Elephas maximus indicus: one gene and its partner. The protein of the gene in region 2 purifies or fractionates together with the protein of the main gene of each other region. This does not show direct contact. Links are inferred from orthologs where the notes say so. Each region holds a gene or a part of one and is shown on either strand. Other genes may lie near its edges.

Evidence for each region.
Region 1: the proteins of SNRNP200 (region 2) and CD2BP2 purify together in Homo sapiens (affinity purification with mass spectrometry; 8 studies listed by BioGRID and IntAct, counting the BioPlex papers as one, with this or other methods). This does not show direct contact. The link is inferred for Elephas maximus indicus from reciprocal best matches to the Homo sapiens genes SNRNP200 and CD2BP2.

What each region holds. Positions count from the first base shown.
Region 1 is NC_064830.1:89,630,587-89,638,451, reverse strand, and holds CD2BP2 (CD2 antigen cytoplasmic tail-binding protein 2), read left to right. Parts: upstream 1-4,873; 5' UTR 4,874-5,014; intron 5,015-5,530; 5' UTR 5,531-5,561; coding exon 5,562-5,645; intron 5,646-5,865; coding exon 5,866-6,001; intron 6,002-6,152; coding exon 6,153-6,310; intron 6,311-6,416; coding exon 6,417-6,852; intron 6,853-6,934; coding exon 6,935-7,041; intron 7,042-7,108; coding exon 7,109-7,240; 3' UTR 7,241-7,362; downstream 7,363-7,865. Other genes in the region: TBC1D10B (TBC1 domain family member 10B), read left to right, coding at 336-450, 574-639, 840-1,029, 1,385-1,539, 1,628-2,347. UniProt on the Homo sapiens protein: Involved in pre-mRNA splicing as component of the U5 snRNP complex that is involved in spliceosome assembly.
Region 2 is NC_064835.1:88,744,406-88,751,285, forward strand, and holds the start of SNRNP200 (U5 small nuclear ribonucleoprotein 200 kDa helicase), read left to right. Parts: upstream 1-3,875; 5' UTR 3,876-3,999; coding exon 4,000-4,044; intron 4,045-4,532; coding exon 4,533-4,696; intron 4,697-6,382; coding exon 6,383-6,554; intron 6,555-6,880. UniProt on the Homo sapiens protein: Catalyzes the ATP-dependent unwinding of U4/U6 RNA duplices, an essential step in the assembly of a catalytically active spliceosome. Plays a role in pre-mRNA splicing as a core component of precatalytic, catalytic and postcatalytic spliceosomal complexes.

The DNA.
Region 1 (7,865 bases), on a different chromosome or scaffold from region 2:
TGAAGGTTTATGGGATAGTGGCAGTTGGAGGGAGAGAGGCAGGGACAAAGACTGGGAGGCGAGAGAGCACAGCCTGGACTAGAGAATGGGTAAGGAGTATGGGGTGTGTAGCCAAAGGTTGGAGAGCAAGAGCTGGAATGCTTTGTGGTCTCAACCTTGATAGCTCGATAGGCAGGACTAGGAAGGCAGATGGTATGTCGTGGTGAAATTCTGAGATTAATCTGCAGCTAGGTGATGGAAAAGTCTAGGCTGGGGCTGGTAGGGAGCAGATTTGGTTTGGGTCAGAGAGCTCGCAACTCCTGTGATCACCCTCACAGTCTTCCCCGTCCCTCCAGGCAACAGGACCTGTATCGCATCCTGAAGGCCTACACCATCTACCGGCCCGATGAGGGTTACTGCCAGGCCCAGGCCCCAGTGGCTGCAGTGCTGCTCATGCACATGCCTGCTGAGGTCAGCATAGGCTTGTCCTGGTGGGGGTGGGCTGGGAGCATCTTGGCCTACAGTGGTGATGGAGGAGCTCCCCGATCTCTTTCTCAGGTCCCATCCCTCCCTCCTTATTCTTGCCCTTCCCAGCAAGCGTTTTGGTGCCTGGTACAGATCTGCGACAAGTACCTCCCTGGCTACTACAGTGCAGGACTGGTGAGTGGAGGCTGGGTGCACCTCGGGCTGTAACTTTTCCCCAAGGCTGCAGGGAAACCCTTACCCTGCCTCACACTGCCCTTCAGTCCCTGTCTTTGGGCATCTCCTCACTGGGGTGAGCATCCACTCTCAGGGCTAGGTCTATCCCTAGGGGGCCGAAGCAGGCCAGGCCCTCCTCTCATGACTTGTTACTCCTCCAGGAGGCCATTCAGCTGGATGGAGAGATCTTTTTTGCGCTATTGCGCCGGGCGTCCCCATTGGCACATCGGCACCTGCGGCGGCAGCGCATTGACCCTGTGCTCTACATGACAGAATGGTTCATGTGTATTTTTGCCCGCACCCTGCCCTGGGCCTCAGTGCTGCGTGTCTGGGACATGTTCTTCTGTGAAGGTACATCTGTGGCCATGCAGGCCCTGAGGGGCTGGGGCTTCTGTGGTGACTGCCAGAGGGCCCTGTCACATTTCTCATGGCCCCATGACAGAAGGTAGTTGTTGGGCCTAGGCTTCAATGTAAGCAGCCTGGAGGCTGGAGGAACTGAGGCCTGATCTTTGGCTGTGCCACCAACCCAGGGCTGCTCTTCCTCCCAGGAAGCAGAAACCCGTGGCAACTCATTTTCCTTCTCGGGCCTCAATTTCCTCATCTGTAAGATTTAGCAGTAAGAGGGATGGGGGCTGTGAGTCCCTACTAAATGGGACTGGCTGAGATCCGGGGCCTGATCCCCCCATGCTCTCTTCTGGCCCTCTAGGCGTCAAGATCATCTTCCGAGTGGCCCTGGTGCTCCTGCGGCACACGCTGGGCTCTGTGGAGAAGCTGCGCTCCTGCCAAGGCATGTATGAGACCATGGAGCAGCTGCGCAACCTGCCGCAGCAGTGCATGCAGGAGGACTTCCTTGTGCACGAGGTAGGACTTGACTCTACACACTCCACATCTGCTTTGGCCCATCCATGCACCTCTTTTTCATTCTGCAACCCATTTCCTCTCTTTCTAGGTGACCAACCTCCCAGTGACAGAGGCACTGATTGAGCGAGAAAACGCAGCGCAGCTCAAGAAGTGGCGGGAAACCCGGGGGGAGCTGCAGTATCGGCCCTCACGGAGATTACATGGCTCCCGGGCCATCCATGAAGAGCGGCGACGGCAGCAGCCACCTCTGGGCCCCTCTTCCAGCCTCCTCAGCCTCCCTGGCCTCAAGAGCCGAGGCTCCCGGTTAGGTGGTGGGGCGCCCTCTCCACCCCCTCCTGCCCGAAGGGCCAGTGCTGGGCCTGCCCCAGGGCCTATGGTCACTGCTGAGGGACTGCATCCATCCCTTCCCTCACCTACTGGCAACAGCACCCCCTTGGGTACCAGCAAGGAAGCCCGGAGGCAGGAGAAAGAGCGGCAGAAACAGGAAAAGGAGAGTGAGAAGGAGCGGCAGAAACAGGAAAAGGAGAGTGAGAAGGAGCGGCAGAAACAGGAGAAAGAGCGGGAGAAGCAGGAGAAGGAGCGGCAGAAGTGGGAAAAAGAGCAGGAGAAGGAGCAGCAGAAACAGGAGAAGGAGCGGCAGAAGCTGGAGAAGGAACGGCAGAAGCAGGAGAAGGAACGGCAGAAGCAGGAGAAGAAGGCCCAAGGCCGGAAGCTTTCGCTGCGTCGAAAGGCAGATGGGCCCCCAGCCCCTCAGGATGGTGGGGACAGGTCCTTGGCATCTGAGGCCCGGCAGGATGCGTACTTCTGACCTCTGCCCTGGGGCTGGACTGCATGGCCCCCCTTTTCCCCTCAGCCAAGAGCAGGCCTGGCCTGGGCTGCTGCCCCCAGCCCCCTTGGTAGGCCGTCCTTCTCAGAGGAAGGTGGCTTGATACCCTATCTCCTCATGCCAGCTGCTGATCCTACACAGCCAAGACAGAGTGCATGGGGCAGCTGCATTTCCCTGAGGCAGCCAGGAGCAAATCTGGAGCCCCTTACCTCCAGACAGACCCAGCCAGGGTCTCTGTCACTCCTGCCCCAACTCCCTGTGGGGTCCCCCTCCCCGGTGCTGTCCTGGTTGATTTCTTGTCATTACGGGGGTGACTCTTGGTGATGGGAGTCTGCAGTTTTCAGATTCTTACACTCCAGTGGCTTCCCTTACCTATGAGGTGGAGCTGGGTTCCCTTTTCCTTCCTCCAGTCCTGCCAGTCCCCACTTCTTGGCTGGGGGCCAAGGTTCTCCTTGATCTATTTCTGGACATCTCTGTTATAATTATGTACAGAGGACCTGGCCAGCCTGGGGGGGGAATGCTCACTCCATCTTCTGCTCTTCGGTTCTCCTTCCACAATGCTCGTGTCCCAGTTTATTTAAGGGGACATGCACTGGAACAGGAAATGTCCCCCACCTCCCCACCCCTGCCCTCATGCTCTCCCTCCTCTGTGTTCTCAGGCCTCCCCTGCTTTGTCTCACGAGGGCCCCTACCTTTCACCTTGTTTCCTTCCATCCCCTATCAGAGGAGTCTTCCCTTGAGGTCCAGGGGTGGAACCCTATGTTTACATTTTCTTCTGTCCCTGCCCCCGCCCTGTGCGTGTGGCGCTTTGAGGAACCGGAAAAGAACCTGCTGTTGTACCTGGGCTTGTCTTCTGCCTTGTTTTTTGATGAAGGAGGTGTGGGGGTAATGGCTAGGGAGGAAGGGAAGACAGACAGGACCTGGGTCTCTATCAAAGCAGTCTGCTGGTCTTGGCAGGTGCCTCTTGGCCTTTGGTCCATCTCAGTCGCTCATCAACAAACTGGTTGAGCTCCTGCCTCAGCTTTGCCTGGAATTTGCTCTCTCCATTGTCACTGGTCTGGAGCCCTCTACGCTTTTCCTGCAGCACCCAGATCTCCTTCCTAAAGCACTCATGCAGCTCCTAGAAGCCTGAGGGGGTACTGAGTGAGGGTGGCTAGAAAGCCACAGCTCTCTGAGAGTGAGCTGGGCTCCTGGCCAGTCGCCTGGCACACTTTCCTGTACTGGGGACTCCAGAGAGGGTAGCAGTGCTGCCAGCCGGCTCCAGCTCACTCTGGCCAGTGCCCATGCCAGGCCCTCCAGCTCTTGGTTTTCTGTAGCCAGCTGATAGGTCCATGCCACCCTCTGTGCCCTCCACCTCAGGGGTCAGAACCTTAAAGGTGTAGGATTCCATGTTGGATTCCACGGCTCCAAGGTGTGGCTCCACCTGGCAGTTCTCCAACAGGACGAGGCTTAGGTGTGTGCTGTCTGCCTGGTGCTCCAGGTAGGTTTCCATGGAGGAGGAACAGCAGCACTGGTAGCTGGTGTTTTGGACCCCATTCTTTAGCAAGAAGCCATCCCGATCTGGGACCTGTGCTCTGACCCCCAGAATAAAACAGACTCTAGGTGAGGTTTCACGGTGGTTTAATCCAGGGAGCGGGAGAGAGGAGGGGCCAGATGGTCGCCCTAGGTGCCCCCTGCTGGTGTCCTCTGGCTTCAGCAGGCTTCTGAGCACTAGCCTAGTGGGATTCAAGCTCCTGAGTGTCCACTAGAGTTTGGGACCTCTTTACCACAGTAATGGGACCCACTCCTCCCACCTCCCAACCCCACCCCCTTGGGCCAAGCTCCCAGCACCTGGGCTTTGTTTGCTAAGGGTGGGGGCTTTATCCTGCGCTGCACTTCGAGAGAGGTACTGCTACCCTTTTGCAGGCCTACCTGAGAGGGACAGGAGAGGCCTCTGGCCTGGGTACTTGGCTACCTCTCCTGTTGGTGGCTTTCCCACCTGAGAAACCAGGAGCCGTTCTGGGGGTAGGTGTGGAGCAAATGACTTCCCTTGGGGCCTAAAGGGAGCTCGGTGTTTGAGAGACCTAGGAGTGGTCAGGGGCCACAAAGTGGGCCATCAGAAGAGTCGAGCAGGCTTCCCCAGAGAAAAGGCTCCGTCTCTTGACACTAAGAACGGAGCAGACAGCTGGGAGTGGGCAGGGATGATTTCTCCTCAGATGGTGGGCGTAGAGCCCTTAGCTAGCTGTGGAAAAAGGGTGATCGAACCCTGAAAAGGTAACCGGCTAGGAATGTACTGGACCTGCTCGGACTCTGCCCCTCCATGCTGACTCTGGGCGCCCCTTGAATTAGAGCGCACTCCACTTTCTCCCCAAAACCTCTACTGCTGCCTGAGGGGATCCACACCACCTCCCTCGCCGGATCCGAGTCTAAGCGGTCATACGATCCCTTTTTGTCATTTCGCCAGTTTACGTCACTTCTGGCAGGTCGTCCCTCGCTCATTGCATACTTCCGCCCGCTCTTTCAGTTAGTTCTCTAACCGGAGTGAAGTCACTTCCAGCTTCCCTGGCGCCTTCGGCAGTTCTCTTCCGGGTGATGGCGGTCAGGCGCCCCGGATATATCCCTAGCGAAAGCATCTCTTTTTTTCTTCCCCCGTCTCCCCTGGAGCCCCAGGTGAGCGCGCGCCAGTGGGACTTCCTGAGTCTCCCCTGGCTTTGCAGCCCCTCTAGTTTGTATACATAGCACCGGCAGTTGGAGGTCTCCCCGCGGGGTTGGGAGTTTGGGCGCTAGGAGGAGTGGGGCGGCCAGGGCTCCAGATCCTGGGGCTGCGTGGGCCCCGCGGGCTCTGGGGACCCTGAGGGGCCAGCTGTCAGCCCCCAGAGTGCCGCCGTGCCTAGGACTGCGGGAGCCGGGGAGGGGGTGGTCACGTGGGAGAGCCGGTTGCCTCTTCGTTAAAGGTGGGAATACCATGGGGAGATACCCTCTCTTCCGGTTCCAGCACCCTCTGGAATCCCGAACCAAGGGAGTTGCCTGGCTGCCAGCTCCCTTTTCGGACTCATCCTGTGCTCCCTCCCCTCCCGAACAGGATGTACCTGGTGAAATGTTTGTTGTGGGGGTGGGAGCGGGGCTCTCTCGCCTGAGTCCCCTCCTCGCCCCTCCAGTTCTCTTACCTCGCCTGCTTTCTCTCAGCACAGTTTAGAGAAGCCTTCTCTGCCCCGTCATGCCAAAGAGGAAAGTGACTTTCCAGGGCGTGGGAGATGATGATGATGATGATGAGAGTGAAATCAGTGTCCCCAAGAAGAAGGTGAGGGGGCCAGACTCCTGTGTTCTGGGACGAGTGAGGGGAGAAAAGAGAAGCTAGAAACTGAAAGAGAAATAAAGCTGAGGACACAAAAAGTGGGTTGGTTTTCGAATATTCTCTGAGGAATGACTTTGAAGAATTTTCAGTTTGGGTCCAAATCCTGGAGTATTTTGGGGAGTAGCCAATATCCCGCATCTCTTGATTTGCTGATTCTTGCTCATAGCTGGTGGATCCTGTGGCTGGGGCAGGGGGTCCTGGGAGCCGCTTCAAAGGTAAACACTCTTTGGACAGCGATGAGGAGGATGACGATGAGGAGGGGTCCAGCAAATACGACATCCTGGCTTCAGAAGATGTGGAGGGTGAGTTATACTGAAGATGTGACTCAGCCAGAGGGACAAGGAGGGGCTTCTGGGGCTGTGGGACAAGGGAGGCTCCTGCCTTTTTTTTTTTTTTTTTGGCCACTGCCTCTTTTTGCACACCTAGCATGGAGCATGTGTGTCTTTGGTGCAGGTCAGGAAGCAGCCACACTCCCCAGCGAGGGAGGTGTGCGGATCACACCCTTCAACCTACAGGAAGAGATGGAGGAAGGCCGCTTTGATGCCGATGGCAACTACTTCTTGAACCGGGATGCTCAGATCCGAGACAACTGGCTGGATAACATTGATTGGGTGTGGCCCAGGGGCTGGCATGACTGGGGTCTGTGGGCAGAAAATGTGCAGTCTGAGCCCTGCTGGCAATTTGTAGGGAATAACTTTTCTGTCTTCATATTTACAGGTAAAGATTAGGGAGCAACCACCTGATCAGCATCAGACGTCAGACTCAGAGGAGGAGAACAGCCTGGGCCAGACACCGATGAGTGCCCAAGCCCTTCTGGAGGGCCTTCTGGAGCTGCTGTTGCCGAGGGAGACAGTTGCTGGGGCATTGAGGCGTCTGGGGGCCCGAGGCGGAGGCAAAGGGGACAGCAAAGGGCCTGGGCGGCCCAGCTCCCCACAGCGCCTAGACCGGCTCTCAGGGTTGGCCGACCAAATGGTGGCCCGGGGCAACCTTGGTGTGTACCAGGAGACTCGGGAACGGTTGGCCATGCGGCTGAAGGGGCTGGGGTGCCGGACCCAGGGATCCCATGACCCTGCACCCCCACCCTCTCTGGACATGTTTGCTGAGGAAGTAGCAGAGGAGGAGCTGGAGAGCCCAACCCCTGCCCAAAGAGGAGGTAAGCTTGGAGGGCAGAAGAGGGGTGTTGTGGGCAGAAGGCATGGTGGTTGAGGCCCAGATTGCTTTTCCTCTTATTTTAGAAGCAGAGTCGCCAGGGGATGGTCTAGTGGATGTGATGTGGGAATACAAATGGGAGAACACACGGGATGCTGAGCTATATGGGCCCTTTACCAGTGCCCAGATGCAGGTAAGTCCTTTTCTACCTAGTTCTGCCTTGTGCTTCCCATCCCCCACCTCCACAGCTCCTCCCCTAGCTCTGCCCTCTCTCCCTGCAGACCTGGGTGAATGAAGGCTACTTCCCTGATGGTGTGTATTGCCGGAAGCTGGACCCCCCTGGTGGTCAGTTCTACAACTCCAAACGGATTGACTTTGACCTCTACACCTGAGCCCACTGAGGGCCGAGTTTAGTGGCCCCTTCTTTCTTGGACTCTGTGGGGGAGGCTCCAGCTGTCTCAGGAAGTGAGGACACTGGGGGCTGCTTCTTTCCGAATAAAAGCCTTTAGTTGTGTATTGGGGCCTTGGCTATGCTGGGACCAGAAGCCGGGGGCCTTCTCCACAATCCCTTTGCACTTGCCTTGCTCCTTTGGGTGTTTCTTCCCATAAAGTTGCTCCTTGGGAGTTTCTCTCTGGTCTCTTGAACCACCTCACCTTTGTTCTCAGGGACTAGGGCCTGGGCCTGTCAACATCCTGCGGCCTCTCCACTTGGACTCTGCTTGCCATCTGAAAATCCATCAGTTACACTATTTTCCAGTCTCCTTTGGGCTTCCCGTTCAGTGTTCTTAGGTTGTTAGCCTAAGAACCAAACCAACCCAAACCCACGGCCATCCAGTTGATTCCAACTCATAGTGACCCACTAGAACAGAATAGAACTGCCTAATACGGTTTCCCAGGCTGTAAATCTTCACAGAAGCAGACTGCCATATCTTTTCTCCTGCAAAGTGGCTGGTGGGTTTGAACTGCAGACCTTTCTTTTAGCAGCCGAGCGCTTTAACCACTGTTCCACCAGGGCTA
Region 2 (6,880 bases):
CATAGCAACCCTATAGGCCAGAGTAGAACTGCCCTATAGGGTTTCTGAGGCTGAAACCTTCGTGGAAGCTGACTGCCACATTTTTCTCCCGTGGGGCAGCTGGTGGGTTCGGACCACTAGGTAACAGCTGAGTGCTTAACCCCTGCACCACCAGGGCTCTTTGTCACGTGATAGGCACTCAATAAATTTTTGCTTAATCTGAACATTGGTCTCCTTAATCAAGTATCTGCTATGCAGGTGTGAAAAACAAGCAAGCAAACAAGAAACAGAAACCTGCCATGGTTTTCTGTTACCTCCTGGCTGAAGTAAGCATTCTTTACTACGAGACTATTTCTTCAATAAAGAGATTCCCAGCTACACGTGTAGCCACCCTGTTCCTATTGCTTACATTTGCCGCAGGCAGGTGAACTGACTCTGACAGCTCCCAGGACATGCCTGACTTCCCTGCTCCATGCTTTTAGCTCTTTTTGTGCCCCGCCCTCGGAAGCCCCCCACCCCTCACTGAATCCTAGCCAGCCTTTACACCACGGGCAAATGCTGTCTTCTCTGCGAAGTTTCTCCAAGTCTCCTCAGAGTGACTCTACCTTCCCTGTCTCCCACAGTGCCCCTTGTGGCACTGACCATATTCAGACTTTTCATTGCAGTCATCCGCTCTGGTGGCTCTCTTCTGACGTCCATTTTTTTTTTTTTTTAAAGAATATTTCAACTTTTATTTCTAGGATACATTCATCTGGAAACTTTTTGTTTCTTTACAGTTTTCCTCCTAAGAGAAATGAATACATTAAAAATATAATCCAACTACCAGCAATGTTTGTAACCAGAAAAGAATCTAAAATCTCTGGTGTGATGATATAGGATTTAAAAAAGAAAAAAAACTTCATACCAGAAATAAAGCCTGAATATTCTCTTTTCTTTAAAAATATAGTTTTTTTCTTTACTTTTCCATGTAAATTTTATAATCAAACATTTAGTTCTAAAGTCTATTTTTAAGTCAGCAATTACAACACTAGAGCATTGCTTTCTTTCCACTTTGTATCCTGTTCTGTGCTATGAATCAACTAATAATTGAAGAAGTCTTAAAAATGAGATGCCACCAGGCGATAGCAAGATTCACGATATACTGACCATAAAATAAACTCCCCAGTAGCGAACTGAAATCTATTTACAGGTTGTATTCTATTACGTTTATGAAATGAGCACGTATAGGAAGCACTTTTGCGAACTGTAAAGCTATTTTTTTAAATTTATTTTGCCTGGAAAGATTGGGATGAGGTGTCAGGGACACACGGGTGTGAAACCTAGTCCTTTTTTTCCAAAACTACTTAGATTTGTGGGGGGAGAATAATAACTGCAAAGAAGTTGGGGGTATGGATGCAGGGATTTCTCTTAAAGATTGATTGGTTTGCAGCAATGTACTATTTTTCTTAACTGAGAATAAAAAAGTGGGGAGGGCAAAGTAACAGCTCTCTATAGACCAATACTTTACACCAGACTGAGAGGTCAGGCCGTCTGTTTCCAAATGGGAATAAGAAACAAGAGAGCTTGGATGGTTTCTTCCCCACTTCCGAATAGGTCCTCTATGCAGAATTTCATTACTTGAAGTATAGTCTATCCTAAAACAGTATTCAAAAACTCAACACAAATAGTTTGAGGATGGTTTCCCTTCTTTAGGAAGATAATCAAAGAGCCAAACTTAAACATGTACATAACATACCTGAACCACAGAGTAACACCTTCCTCCTACTCCTACAACTTTTTTAGGGTATTTGTAATACATGGAAAGGTAAGTAAAGAATGGAGACCTGGTGGTGCAGTGGTTAAGAGCTCGGGTGGCAGTTCGAATCCACCAGCCGCTCCTTGGAAACCCTATGGGGTGGTTCTACTCTGTCCTATATGGTCGCTATGAATCAGAATTGACTTGAGGGCAACAGGTTTTTTTTTTTAAGTTTTTTTTAAAGAATAAAGAAGCTCAGTAACAATATCAGTGAGGGTTTTCCTCTCCTTTGCAAAAACAAAAACAACCCATTGCCATCAAGTCAATTCTGACTCATAGCCACCTTATAGGACACAGTAAAACTGCCTCATGTCTCTCCAGTCTTTTTAATGACCTTTGCTTTTTTCATGTATGGTGCTCTTGATGTCATCCCACAACTCATCTGGTCTTTGGTCATTAGAACTCAATGTGTCAAAGCTGCTCTTGAGATGGTCTCTAAATTCAGGTGGGATATACTCAAAGTTGTACTTTGGCTTTCCTGGGCTTGTTTTAATTTTCTTCAGCTCCAACTTGAACCTGCATAAGAGCAATTGATGGTTTGTTCCACAGCTGGCCCCTGGCTTTGTTCTTACTGATGATGTTGAGCTTCTCCGTTGTTTCTTTCCATAAATGTAGTCGAGAGGTCCACGTGTATAAACCAAAACAAACAAAAACCAAAAAACCAAACCTGGTGCTGATGAGTTGATTCCAACTCACAGAGACCTGTAGGACAGAGTAGAACTGCCCCATGGGGTTTCCAAGGCTGTAAATCTTGACAGAAGCACTTTGCGGGAGAAAGATGTGGCAGTCTGCTTACACACAGGTAACAGCCTTGGAAACCCTACGGGGCAGTTCTACTCTGTTCTGTAGGGTCGCTATGAATCAGAATCAACGCGATGGCAACAGGCTGGTTTTATACCTAGAAGTGGGGTTGCTGGATCATACGACAGCTCTATTCTTACTTTTTTGAGAAAGCGCCATACTGTTCTACATTTCTCAGTCTCAGCAGCAACAGATAAGGGTTTCAGTGTCCCCACATCCTTGACGACATTTGTTACCTGTTTTTTTTTTTTAATCAATGCCACTTTTGGGGGAGGAGAGGGATAAGAGGGTTTCTCATTGCAGTTTTCATTTGCATCTCTAACAGCTAAGGACAGCCCTCGTGGCCCAGTGGTTAAGAGCTCGGCTGCTAACCAAAAGGGTCGGCAGTTCAAATCCACCAGCCGCTCCTTGGAAGCCCTATGGGGCAGTTCTACTCTGCCCTATAGGGTCGCAATGAGTTGTAACTGACTCGTCAGCACCTGACAACAATGACTAATGCTTGTGAACATCTTTTCATATGTTTGTTGGCCGCGTGGATGTCCTATCTGGTGAAGATTCTGTTCACGTTCTTTGCCCATTTTGTGACTGGGTTGCCTTTTTGCTGTTGAGCTGTTGCAGTTTTCTATAGATTTTAGAGATTAGACCCTTTTTGGAAGTCATTTCCAAAGATTTTTTTTCCCAGTCTTTAGGTTGTCTATTTACTGTTTCAATAAAGTCTTTTGATGAGGGTAAGTTTTTTTTTTTTCTTAACCTTACGAGGGCCCATTTATCTATTTTCTTCCTGCATTTGTTGTATGTGTTATCCTATTCTTATACAGGTCCCACAGTTTTCTCCCTGTATTGTCTTGCAGGAATTTTAGGGTGTTAAGATTAACATTTAGGTCTTTGATCCATTCTGAGTTAAATACAGCTGCGGAACCCAAAGGAAAGTAGCCATTACACAGACTAACTCCCGCTCGCTGGGTGCTTCGGGTTCCTCAGGCGGAGAAGGGGGTGATCAGTCTCCTAGAGTGCCTACCTCACAGGGCGAGAGTCAGAGGAAGAAGCGGGTGGAGAAGGGTCTAGGTCAGCACAGCGGGCTGGACAGGTGTACGTTCCGTTACGACCTGAGGGCCGCAGGTAGGGGGTGGGGAAGTAGAGTCACTGAGTCCGCCGCGCCAGAAGGCCGACGGAAGGGACGCAGGAACCAGAGTGCAGGGGTCGCGGGATCCGGGGAACCGGAGACTCAGAGGCGCCAGCCCCGCCCACCTCTCGGAGACGTGCCCTCCCCACACTCTCTGCGCGCGACCCGGAAGCGGAAGTGAGCTCCCGTCTTCCTCTCCGGGCGTCCCTCTTGCGTCTTCCGGCCTGTGGCAACGGGAGCGGCGGTTCGCGGCGTGTGGTGCGGCGGCGCGGAGCCCTGAGGGCCCGGCTGAGCTGCAGTCATGGCGGATGTGACCGCCCGCAGCCTGCAGTACGAGTACAAAGCGGTGCGTGAGGGCTAGGGGAAGACTCCGGGCGAGGGAGCCGGGTGGGGAGCGAGAGGCCGAGGAAGGCCGGCGCGCGAGCCGCGAAGGTGGAGGGAGGTTGAATCGGGCGCAAGTGGGGCTGCACGGCCTGTGGGCGCCCGCTGGGCCTGGCGGGCGGGACGGCCGGGGCCTCCTCGGAGGGCTTCCCCGGGCCCCTGAGCGCCGGCCGGGCCCTGCGGACACTCGCCGCCCAGGCCGGCCGTCGCGCGCTGTGTGGGCGGCGGGGGGTCAGGTCGCTCGACGGGCCGAGCCCAGAGCCGAACTCGGCCCTTGATCCGCCGCAGTCTCGCGCGGTGCCGTCGCTTCTGAAGGAAACTGTTTATTTACTCCGTCTGGGGACTGTTAGCACTTGGTGGCCTCGGCCCGTCCTGAGGTATTACCAGCTCTTGTCCCCGTAATTAGCAGCTGGCCCTGTTCACGTCAGAGCTCCGACAATGTGATCTTTCCAGAACTCGAATCTCGTCCTCCAAGCTGACCGCTCGCTCATTGACCGCACCCGCCGCGATGAACCCACAGGAGAGGTGCTGTCTCTGGTTGGGAAGCTGGAGGGCACCCGGATGGGGGATAAAGCTCAGCGGACCAAGCCGCAGATGCAGGAGGAGAGAAGAGCCAAGTGAGTACCAAGGGAAAGCTTTTTTCTTCACATTTAGAGCCCGTGTTTTCTTTAGCATTTGAGTTTCAAGTATATTTTGCAGAAATGCTTGGTGCAAGGTGACACCTCGGTGGTTATTAAATTATCTTAGTGAAGGTAAACACAGAACGCAAGAGCTAAAGGGTCTTTGGCCTAGGTGAGTACATTTGCAGTGGAAAATAACTCTTTGTTACTTTTTTTTAGTAATCTCTTTCTGGTCCACATACAGATCTTTTCTTATGGGGTATTTTCAAGTTTCCTTGTCTCAGTAACTTTTCTTCTTCCATTATTAACTTTTCACCTCAATTTCTTTCTTCTGCTTTTGCCTACTCCCAGCTATTTTGTTGTTACAACTAACATTTAGTGGTCATATTACTAAAGGTGCTTTGTTTCCTTTTAGTTTTCTTTACTTTTTGAGGTATTTCAAAACCTAGACAATGATTGAACTTTATCTCACCGTTTTTTTCCGAACATCTCTGTGTTTCCTCCATTCTCTGTGATAAAGTCTCAAAAATTCCTAGGCCCACTTTTGATTAAAGTAGTTATATTTGAAATGAGTGAATAGATTATTAGTTTTCCATTTTGCAGCATATGACCTCTTTTCCAATTTTATTGTACCTTGTTGGGAGTTTGTAAGAATGGCATGGTGGCAGTGTCACCCTTCTTTTTGTCTCACTTTATGATTAGGGAGAGCTTCACCATCAGCATCAGCCAGCTGATCGCTATGAGATGGAGGTCAGACAGCCCTTGATCCTCCAGTCTTTTTACCAGTTCTGACACCGGCCAGCCCTCTCAGGAGCTGTCTGCTGCTCTGCTGAGTTCGATAACTCATTGCAGTGGCTACCGTGTTGTCTGGTGCTGGTCTCCTGGTTCTGCTGCTGCCGTTTCCCTGCTGCAGCACTGTCTCCGACATTGGAGCTCTCTTTCTCTGTCTCCTGGGTCTAGGAGGTTCTCAGCGCAGGGACGCCATGTCCAAAGGATGCACTCTGCTCCCATCTCTTCTTCTTGGTGGTAGTGAAGCCCCGCTCTGTTCTGGGATGAGCTCATTTTAAGCATGGTGGGATGGCAAAACTGATAGTCCCCTCATTAGGGGGCCACGTACCATATGTGCGTGGTTCCACCCCCACGGGTGCCACACACCTTATTTGCATTTTTAGCAAGCTGTCCAGTCCCCTTGGTGGACCACAAGCACTTTCTTTCTGTAGTCACATTCAGTCATTTGGTGGAAGTTATGAGACCATGCTTAGAAAGGCCACATAAAATCAGTCCTCACACCGCAGGAGTCAAGAGCAGTGGATTCCTTTGGAGCTTCCGTTTCTCTGGCTAGGAAAAGGAAATGTCTATGAGAGGTGAAAAACTAGCCAGGATCAGGTTACATAAGATCTTCATACGAAGTGATTCTTTTAAATGAATGAGGAGGCTATCTCATTGTATCGATTAGCGCAGCTGGTGCACCATAGGGCTCCTTTTCTGTCGATGAGTCCCATCAAGAAATGTCTCGTGCTAGGGACTTAAGGTCAAGTGGGAATCATCTGCTGAGGTACAGGTTTCTCTTTTCAGATATAGGTGTGTATCACAAAACTGAAAAAGAGGGGTGTGGGTTTGATTTAGCCTTCGCTTGGCGAGGGAAGCTTCTCTCTGTTGAACATCATATTGTGTGTCCATTAGGCGAAGAAAGCGTGACGAGGACCGGCATGACATCAACAAGATGAAGGGCTATACCCTGTTGTCGGAGGGCATTGACGAGATGGTGGGCATCATCTATAAGCCCAAAACTAAGGAGACCCGGGAGACCTATGAGGTGCTGCTCAGCTTCATCCAGGCTGCGCTCGGGGACCAGGTGAGGCAGCCAGAGCGTGAGGACCGGCATTTGGAAGGGAGAAGGTCACAGCTGGGATCACTGAAGAGCCTTGTCTCTGGATCTGCCTGTATGGGCCACACCAGTTGGCAGAAGGACTAATAACGGCGGCCCACGTTAAGTGACCGTTTTTTTCATGTGGGATGGCGCTTTCCGTGCCTGTTCTCTTTTAGGTCTCACATTCGCTCTGTGAGATAAGGTGCAGTTAATACTCATTTTCCATTTTACGGAAGAGTGACGTGAGGCACAGAATAGTAATTTCCCCAAGTCACAGAGGTTGTATTTGGCAGAGCCAGGATGAACCCAGG